2 linked regions of the Oryzias latipes genome follow. The protein of the gene in region 2 binds, or shares a complex with, the protein of the main gene of each other region. Links are inferred from orthologs where the notes say so. Each region holds a gene or a part of one and is shown on either strand. Other genes may lie near its edges.

Evidence for each region.
Region 1: strap (region 2) and gemin2 share a complex: the UniProt entries of both Homo sapiens proteins name them as parts of the SMN-Sm complex. The link is inferred for Oryzias latipes from reciprocal best matches to the Homo sapiens genes STRAP and GEMIN2.

Annotation. Positions count from the first base shown.
Region 1 is NC_019880.2:19,643,311-19,647,598, forward strand, and holds the start of gemin2 (gem-associated protein 2), read right to left. Parts: upstream 2,925-4,288; 5' UTR 2,793-2,924; coding exon 2,671-2,792; intron 1,767-2,670; exon of another isoform or gene 1,752-1,766; coding exon 1,667-1,751; intron 1,538-1,666; coding exon 1,448-1,537; intron 1,364-1,447; coding exon 1,304-1,363; intron 1,223-1,303; coding exon 1,106-1,222; intron 10-1,105; coding exon 1-9. Other genes in the region: transport and Golgi organization protein 1 homolog, read left to right, coding at 3,347-3,467, 3,610-3,743. UniProt on the Homo sapiens protein: The SMN complex catalyzes the assembly of small nuclear ribonucleoproteins (snRNPs), the building blocks of the spliceosome, and thereby plays an important role in the splicing of cellular pre-mRNAs.
Region 2 is NC_019881.2:4,535,954-4,540,330, reverse strand, and holds the start of strap (serine-threonine kinase receptor-associated protein), read right to left. Parts: upstream 2,942-4,377; 5' UTR 2,664-2,941; coding exon 2,552-2,663; intron 2,128-2,551; coding exon 1,992-2,127; intron 1,270-1,991; coding exon 1,188-1,269; intron 465-1,187; coding exon 392-464; intron 315-391; coding exon 215-314; intron 1-214. UniProt on the Homo sapiens protein: The SMN complex catalyzes the assembly of small nuclear ribonucleoproteins (snRNPs), the building blocks of the spliceosome, and thereby plays an important role in the splicing of cellular pre-mRNAs.

The sequences.
Region 1 (4,288 bases), on a different chromosome or scaffold from region 2:
AAACCCAACCTGAAAAAAAATGAAAACAAACACATCAGTAAAATCTAGTTTTCACGTTGTCCCTCAATGTAACATGCCTATTAAAGTGCCTTATTTCTGGGGCTGGAGGGGGGCAGTGGAGGCTTCGTTAGTTAGGGGGACCTGGTTGGGCGCCTGGAAGTGGGCAGGTGGGGGTACTGCATGGTCTTGGGAGAGTTTGGTCGGTGCGGTTGAGGGGGTCTGGCTTGGCTTGGGGAGTGGTCTTTTCAGGGGGGGTTAGGACAGGAGGAGGAGGTGCAGGCCCAGGTGCAGGAGACCCTGGGCCTGCACCTCTGCACTCTTCTGGTCCTGGGACGGGGTGGGGCAACCCTCTTGGGGTTTGCAGTTGCTCTGGGTGACACCTGCCATGGCTGCAGGATCTGGGGGGGGGGGGGGGGGGGGGGGGGGGGGGGGGGGCTGGTAGACTGGTTGGCTCTGTCCTCTGGGAAGGGGGTCCTCCATCAGGATGGGACTACAGAGGGTTGGGGTCAGCAATGAGACAATCATGGAGAGCCCTGGCTGGTCAAACTGCCTCGGTCAAGTTGGTGTGCTTTCTTGGCTCCTCTCTCTTTATGTATGCATAAGTATTTTTGTGTGAGCTGTAGTTGTATCGTGTATGTGTTGACATATGGAATGTGAAGATTTCACACAGGTATGTTTGTAACATACCTGTTAGCTCCTTTTGACTAATGCCTTAATCTGACAGTAATAATGATAAACCTCCAGCAACTTTTTGCTTTATGATTCTGAATCTACCCCCACTCTACTTCTTTGATCATGCTCCAACTTCCTTTAACCCCCCCCCCCTTTTCCCTTTTCAAAACAGGTATACAAACATAATCAATATAAATAAAGTTTACCCTCAAATACAGAAGAGTTTAAATAAATATACCCCTTGTGTGTCAGAAGATTCATGACCCCCTATTGTAACAGTAAAATCTCTCAAACACAAGAGGCCTTCAGCTCTGATCTGTTTGCTCAGCTGTTGGACAGAACAAGTTAACAAAAAAGAAAAAAAGTCTTATTTGAAACTTTTTGTTTCAAAACTTTGGCGTTTAAAAATTCTAACAACAGTTTAGTTGACAACCTTGCTATAGTCCAGTTCTGCCTCTGGTTTTGCATCTGTGGGGCAGGCTGATGCGCCCAAGTAGATCCTCTCTCCTAAACAAAACTTCTTCCAGCCCTCCTCATCTGTAAGGTTTGGCTGTAAAAGATCACACTTAAATATTATGCAAATGAGCACCTTTGACCTTTGCTAACATTGCAGCGGGATTTGACATCTTACCATGCGTACATTATTATCCAGAGTCTGGCTGCTCCAATGTTTTCTATTCTTGGTGATGCTCTAGTAAATTAAAAAATTAGACATTATAAGCAGAAATATAAGTGAGATATAAAAGCAACACACTGTTCTTTTAGTTTTTCTTACCCGTCTCACGTCAGAAAAATTACTGACTTGTTGTTGTTGCCAGTGAAGGCTGGGGGAGAAACCTACTGGGGGAGCGTGGCACCCAGCTACCTGAGACAGAAAATATGGTTTTCCAGATTATCATGTCTCTTGGCTGCAGAGTCAACTATACATGACCTCACCACACAGACAAAGCCTTAACAAATAAAGATTTGACCAAATAAATAGATTTTCACTTACAGATACATGGACTGTTTGCTTCTTCTTTAGTTTCTTAGGGTCAATTTGAGCAACCACCACCTCTGGACACATGGACGCTTCCAACCTACATCACAAGGAGGTGAGGGGTCACTGGGAAACACAGCTAATATCTTCTCTTCAATTTCTAAAACGAGTCATTCACAGATGTTGAAATCAATAATCTTTTTATTAGAAGAAGTTGAATTTCTTGCTGCTAAATCTTTTTGGTATTCAACCATGGGTGATTTAAATTGGGAAAAGACTAATACTTCTGTTCATAAATACTGTATTAATATTAAAATAAAATAGGTTTTATTTTGCTTTCTACCCAGTTAAAGATACACTAAGAAGATTTAAAATAAACAGAACAATTTTGTTTTTTGCCAATCAAGTAAGGAGACAATTTTCATTTATTTATTCTTTCTATGTACACCAAGCAATTTTGGTCGGATCTGCGTGAATTTATAACCACAAAATTTAATATAACTCTCTGAATTCTTTTTTTAATGTCATATTATATTTTTAATTACATGGTTTGCCCAAAAAGGTAAGTTTTGTTACTGAACTGTTCATTATTTTTGGGACATTCCTCATTCATACATATAAGCAGTCCATATTGAAGGCGACAAGAACATTTGATATTTTAAAGAAACGGCATATTATATTTTATTTACTTATATTCTATGTTCAAAAATAATTGGACTGGACTGATTATTAAAGTACAGGTGGCACGTGTTGTGCAACCTGTGTAGTGTTTTCTTTTACCTATATTATTCTATTCAGTTAATACAATAAGTATTGATAATAAAGTTTGTTGAAAAGAAACAACAGAAACACTTAAATATACTAAGTGGAGAGCTAATTCCACGGTTCGATACATAGACTGTAAATAGGAACTTTGGTTTTATACAATTTTTTTTATACCAATGCTTTGCTATTCTAAAGCATTTTAATTATGAAAACACTGGCTTTCCACTTTAATGAGAACAGAAGGGAGAACTTACTGGACCTGTCGCAAGTACTCCTGGGGGTTCCTCGGTGGACCGCTGAGGTCTACGTGCTCGGTGTCTTGTCCTAACTCCACCGGAAGCAGCCTTGGCATTAACTCCTCAACATCCGACTTCATTTTCCGCTAATAATGTAAAACTCTTAAGCGAAATCAGGACATTAAAACGAAGACTAGGCAGATGCTAGTATTTACTGTTGTCCAACAAGCGCCATTTTGTTTTTCAAACTAGATTTGATGACGCCAATTTTGTGCGCGAGGCGAGATTTGTTTCCATAGTGACGTGACAGCGCCTGAAACTTTGGCAGCGACAAGGAACGAAGTCCACGAGCATTTTATGTTGCGCATTTAAACACGTTTATTATACCTCAATTCAACCGCAGAAGCTGTTTAATAAATAAAAAAATTTCAAATCAAGTTGGTGAATGAAAAAAATAAACTTTTGACATTAGAGCTAAATTGTTTTGTTCTGCAATCAGGTTACGAGCAACGTTGTTAATTATTAGCTTCATGCTAGCGTTATATCTTATCTCCATTCTTTCGTTTACCACTAGTGAGGTTTCATGAGAGAAACAGCACAGAGTCAATGTCCACTTTCCTGAACAGCAGGTCAAAGGGATTTCTTCTCAAATATGGGACTTTTTCTATGATACACTCCAGCTAAAGCACCCAAAATGGATGTTTCCCTGCTACATAAATTCTGTTGGATTGTGGGTCTAACGTTTGTGATTTTGCCTCTTATAAATCCAGGAATGTTATCCGACTACAAGATCTGTGGAGATTCTGAGTGTGAAAGTAAGTCCAAACACTTGTGTCAAAATAGTTTGAAGTTCCTAAAAAATACTGTTATATTTTATGCATGAATTTAGCTTAGTTGGTTTATTAAAGACATTTTAATCATTTTAATGCAACTGATCACTTGTGTTTGTGTGTGTAGGCCTAATGAGCAGGGTTCAGGCCATAAGGGACCACAAGAGTAACGACTGCCGTTTTCTAAGCTTCAGACGTGGAGATATCATTTTTGTCTACCACAAACTTACAGGAAAGAGGGAGGATCTGTGGGCAGGCAGTGTATGTCCAATTTTCATCTCTTTTATATCTCTGTCGCCTCCTTATCATGAAACCTTAATGTAAATTGTCCCTTATCCAAGGTCTTTGGTTGAACAAAACAATATTCCTTATTATACAAAAAGCCTTAGTGTTTATTTGGGATGCTGACATCTTTGACTTTCATTTAACCGTTGGATGGAAGAGTTTTATTTTGAATGTTTAAATATAGTCATGTTTAAACTAATTTGAAAATTCTGTTAGAATTTAATATTTTGATGCCTGTTCTTGTACTCACGCAATGACAATAATATTGAATCTAATCTAATTTTTGTGTTTTTGACCTGTTAAATATGAATTAGATTTTGATTTCTTTAGTTTCAGAGCATCTTATCAAAAGCTTGTTGCTTTTCAGCATTTAAGTTTCACATATCTCAGAAAAGTAAGATACCAGAACTAAGCAATTTTTTAAAATATAAACATTCCCAGAACTTCTTACTTTTATATTCTTGGATCTAAAAATCAAAAGGACCAACATTTGTTTTAATCTCCAAAGAAAAAAATGACAC
Region 2 (4,377 bases):
TCTAGTGAGAATCGATGCACACTGCTTTTTCGCAGAGACTTCTGGGAAATTTCTAGTGCACTGGATTTTGGAATTGTAGATTCAGACATAACTACAAAATGTCAAAAGCACTATATACTGAGAACGGAAGGAATTCGGACTCTCCTAGCATCCGGGAGGGACCGTCCAGGGCGCCGGCAGCGCCGGCAGGACCCACGTTCAGAGAAGAACTGACCGGATGGTTTTGTCGTCGGCTGCAGAGAGGATTTGCTTGTCGTCGTTGCACCACAGAGCCTTCTTGATGGCTGCGCCGTGACCTGCGATCTCCTGTGGGGCTGATGAACACAGGGAGGGGGGAGGGGGGGTCACATGATGCCGTGTTTAGCAGAAGTACCTTCAAACTGCATCTCACCTGCGTCGGTGTTGCTGAGGTCGAAAATGCGCAGCAGCTTGTCGTTTCCCGCCGTCAGAAGGTGGTTGCTGTCCTAACAGACACAAGCACAGATTTACTGTCCTCCATCTGGCTTGATGAATGTTCACCAGGAGCTTTATCTGTCTCATGTTTGTAAAATCAAAGCAGCAGGAACACGGAGCACTTTGTGACTACAATCATTGTATAGATGGTGTCCCAGCGTTAAGCACTTCCTCTTTACGGTTCAGTTTGCTGTGATGTTTGATGAGCTAAAGTTGTTACGTTTGGCCCACTATTACAGTTTGGTGCCACTCCAATCATCTTGTGATTTATTTTCAAAGTGTTCTAATGATGATGATGATGCGGTTTTTGGTCATTTTCCAGGACATAGTTTCTGCAGGGCGGCAGGACTTCATCAGAAATGAGCCTCTTGGTTGTGGTGTGGAGTAAGCCGTCCAGTCCTGATCCAGATTCCAGCTCAGACCAGGAACACAAAGACGTTCATGGATCTATTTGTCTGCAGGTGGATGATCAGAATGGAGCAGAGCAGGAAGCTTTAGACTCCCCAGCCTATTTCCTACGTCACATATATGACATTTTTGTGTCTGCTCCTGATTTGAAAAATTAAACATCAGAAATGTTATTTTGAGCTTAATTTTCTGTCTATATGTTCTCCGTCGTGAGAAAAATTACCACCATTTTAACAGGACGGGGTCTTTAACCCACATCGGTTCTACCAAAACCCGCATACGCAGACACGGACAAAGAAAGCAGAGACGCCTGGCGCCACACTGACCTGAGTGAAGTTCACAGACTTGACGATGTGTTTGTGCGCCAGAGACAGGACCTCGTCTCCGCTGACCGAGTCCCACACCTTCCTGCAGAAAACAGACACGGTCAGAAGCGTGTGACAGGGGAACATAGAGGGACGGTCAGTGTTGGGGGGCAACGGATTACAAAGCAGCAACATGACCCCACCCTTACATCGACGTGTTCTCCCTACGATGACAAAGGTGGAAAGATTTCATGTAATCCATGGACACCAGTGAAGATCACAAATCATTGAAGAAAAAAGGTTCAGAGCACTGTCTAGTGGGTCTAGATGACCCAACTTCCAGGGCTAACGTGCCTCCAAGGCACACTGGAAAATCAAGCTAGTTTTCAGGGTAGAACAAAGTCAGGGTGCCTGAAAATAAAAAGCAACTCTACTGTCAGGAGTTTCTTTTCTACTGGAAAGACGTTTAGACTCCCAGAAAAAAAATAAGCCAACTTCTTAAAAAAAAATCCACAGAAACTAGTTATCTTGGAGAAAAAGAAACCGCTTCTTTCCTAGATAAAACCCTGATTCCAGGGGAGGGGGGGAAAACAAAAGCTTTTTTCCTAGGTAAGAAGCCAGTGAAATAAAAAGTTTCCTGGAAAAAAAGGCTCATTTTCTGGGGGAAATTCTTCATTTCCAGCAGGTAGAACAGTGCATTTCCTGGAGGAAAGTAGTTTGTTTCCTACTATTAAAACAACTTTCCTGGAGGAAAAGGCTGCTTTCCCAGTAGGAAAGAAGCGTGTTTTTCCTTGGGAAAACAGGCAGTTTCCCAAATCTACTCACGCTGTGAAGTCGGCGGCGGCGGTGGCGGCTTTGGTGGCGTCCATGTTCAGAGTGGCCCCCCAAACAGCACCTTTGTGACCAAGAAACGTTCCGATCCAGTCTCCTGTGTCTCCTTGGCGCAACATGGGCTTGCCATCTTTAACAGAAGGGATTGGATCAGAACCAGAGGCGGGTAGTTACATTTACTCAGTTACTTTTTTTTTGCCAAAGTAACTGTTGGGCTTGAACCAAGTCCTGAGTTTTGTTACATAATCATTAATTACTAGCTTTTCCTAGAGTTTGATGAGGAATCCCTGAGGAGCCTTACTTGATACTCTCGTTACTTTCATGGATTACAGTTACCAGTAAGACCCACAACTTCCCTACAGACAGAGTTCTGCTCAGAAATCAGACCATTCATCAGAACCGGATCCGCCAGGTCTGTTCTACGAGTTTTCTAGGATCGTTTTAAGTCAGAACCGACACACGACCAGATCGGGTTCTGCCTGCACAGACAGAGGGGCTCGCTAACGGCCGAGCCACCGGAACCCCGCGCCGGCTAACGGCCTGCTGGAGCTCACCCTTGCAGGCGCTGATGAGGAAGTATCCGAAAGGCGTGATTCCGCTGAAAGCCAGGTCCACCACGGGTCGGGTGTGACCCGAACAGGTGAGGGGGGTCTGCCTCATGGCCATGGTTGGTGGTCTTCAGCCGCCGCCGGAACCGTCGCGCTCGCGGAAGGAGGCGGCGAACAAACGGGGCCCGCTAACGAACCGGGAGCGGAGGAGCGGCTGTCGGGTAACGGGGAGCAGTCGAGCGGGTGCGGGTGTGAGGAGCGGGGGTCGGTGTCCTTCAGGGTTTGGCCCCCCCAGAGAAGAAACGGCCTCGCGCTAATAGCTACAACATTGCAACTAACTAGCAACGTGCGTAACTGCAGTTACGATGACGACACAAAACCGCGAGACACGACACACTTCCGGGGAATTTCACAATAAAATCCGTCTGTCAGGTGTTTTCGTTTTTTTTTTATGAAAGTAACGGAGAAAAACGTTGTTTTTTGTTTTTTTTATTGAATTTTATAAAGAAAATGTTACAATAGATGGTTCATTTCTAAGAATTACTCAATTTTCTAACAGGGAAGCTCTTTTTTATTAGCAGGACATTACGTACATTAAACTAACTAACTAACTAACTAACTAACTAACTAACTAACTAACTAACTAACTAACTAACTAACTAACTAACTAACTAACTAACTAACTAACTAACTAACTAACTAACTAACTAACTAAATAATAATAATAATAAAAAAAAACTAATTCAGTTGTTTTAAATGTCAAATAATTATATGGAATTATTAAGCACCCAGAGACTCAAACGTTTAAGAGTCTGTTATATAATGTAGGGATTTTATATATCTGCATTAATGAATATAGTTTTACTGCTGCAAACCAGTACCTATACTGTAATTTATTGATATTGTTTACAGGAAAAGTTTCGCTTACAGTTGTTCTCAATTGCTAAAACACTAAACCCTATTATTGTCTGAACCAAATGCCCAGTTGCCTGAACCCACTGATTGCATCGAACGTTCCTTTGGCCGAACCATAAGTACTTCTCACCTGTTTAGACACGACTTGGCAACACATTTTCATTGTGATACACCCGTGCTGCATAAAGGTGTGCACAGGTGACAAAAGTCAAACACAAAGAAAGCACAGGTGTCCCCACTTGAACACAACAACTCAAAACTGATCACACTTGTGGGAGAACATATAAAGTAAGCCAGTTCAGAGAGCACTGGTTTGTGAGGCCCTACAATGGACAGAAATCTGAGAGGAAGAGTTCATGGTGGTTGAGGTGGTCAGCAAAGACAAAGAACAGTAACATCTCATGAAATCAGAGCTACTGGGATCGACAAAGTGCTTGTCCATGGGATTAGCATGAGGGAGGCTGGACAACAGGTACAACCAAACGCCAGTAGATTCACTGTGTCCACCATGATCCGAAGATTTAGGGTAAAGAACAGGTAAAATGCCTTTTATTGGCATTATAAGTAAATGTTGCCAGAAATTACTGTACCACTGAACTAATGCACTGTAATATTGTAATATTGTAGTGGAGGGTTGGTATAACAGTTTGTAGGCCTAGAATACCGTGTATTCTTTTTGTAACTACACAAGTCACAAACGCTCGTTTGTTTTTACAAGTGCTATGTGTAAATGCTCAAGATTTTTTTTTCTATTTTTGTACAAGTTTTCTGCAACATGCATTGAGCCTACAGTCAACAATAAACTTTTATTTCTCCAGCTTCATGTCCTGAGCATTGTGTTTTCTATTTTTCCATGTAGTGTTTAGTGATAGTTCAATGTTGCTTTTAATTTTGACTGACTCGGGGCACGATTTCAC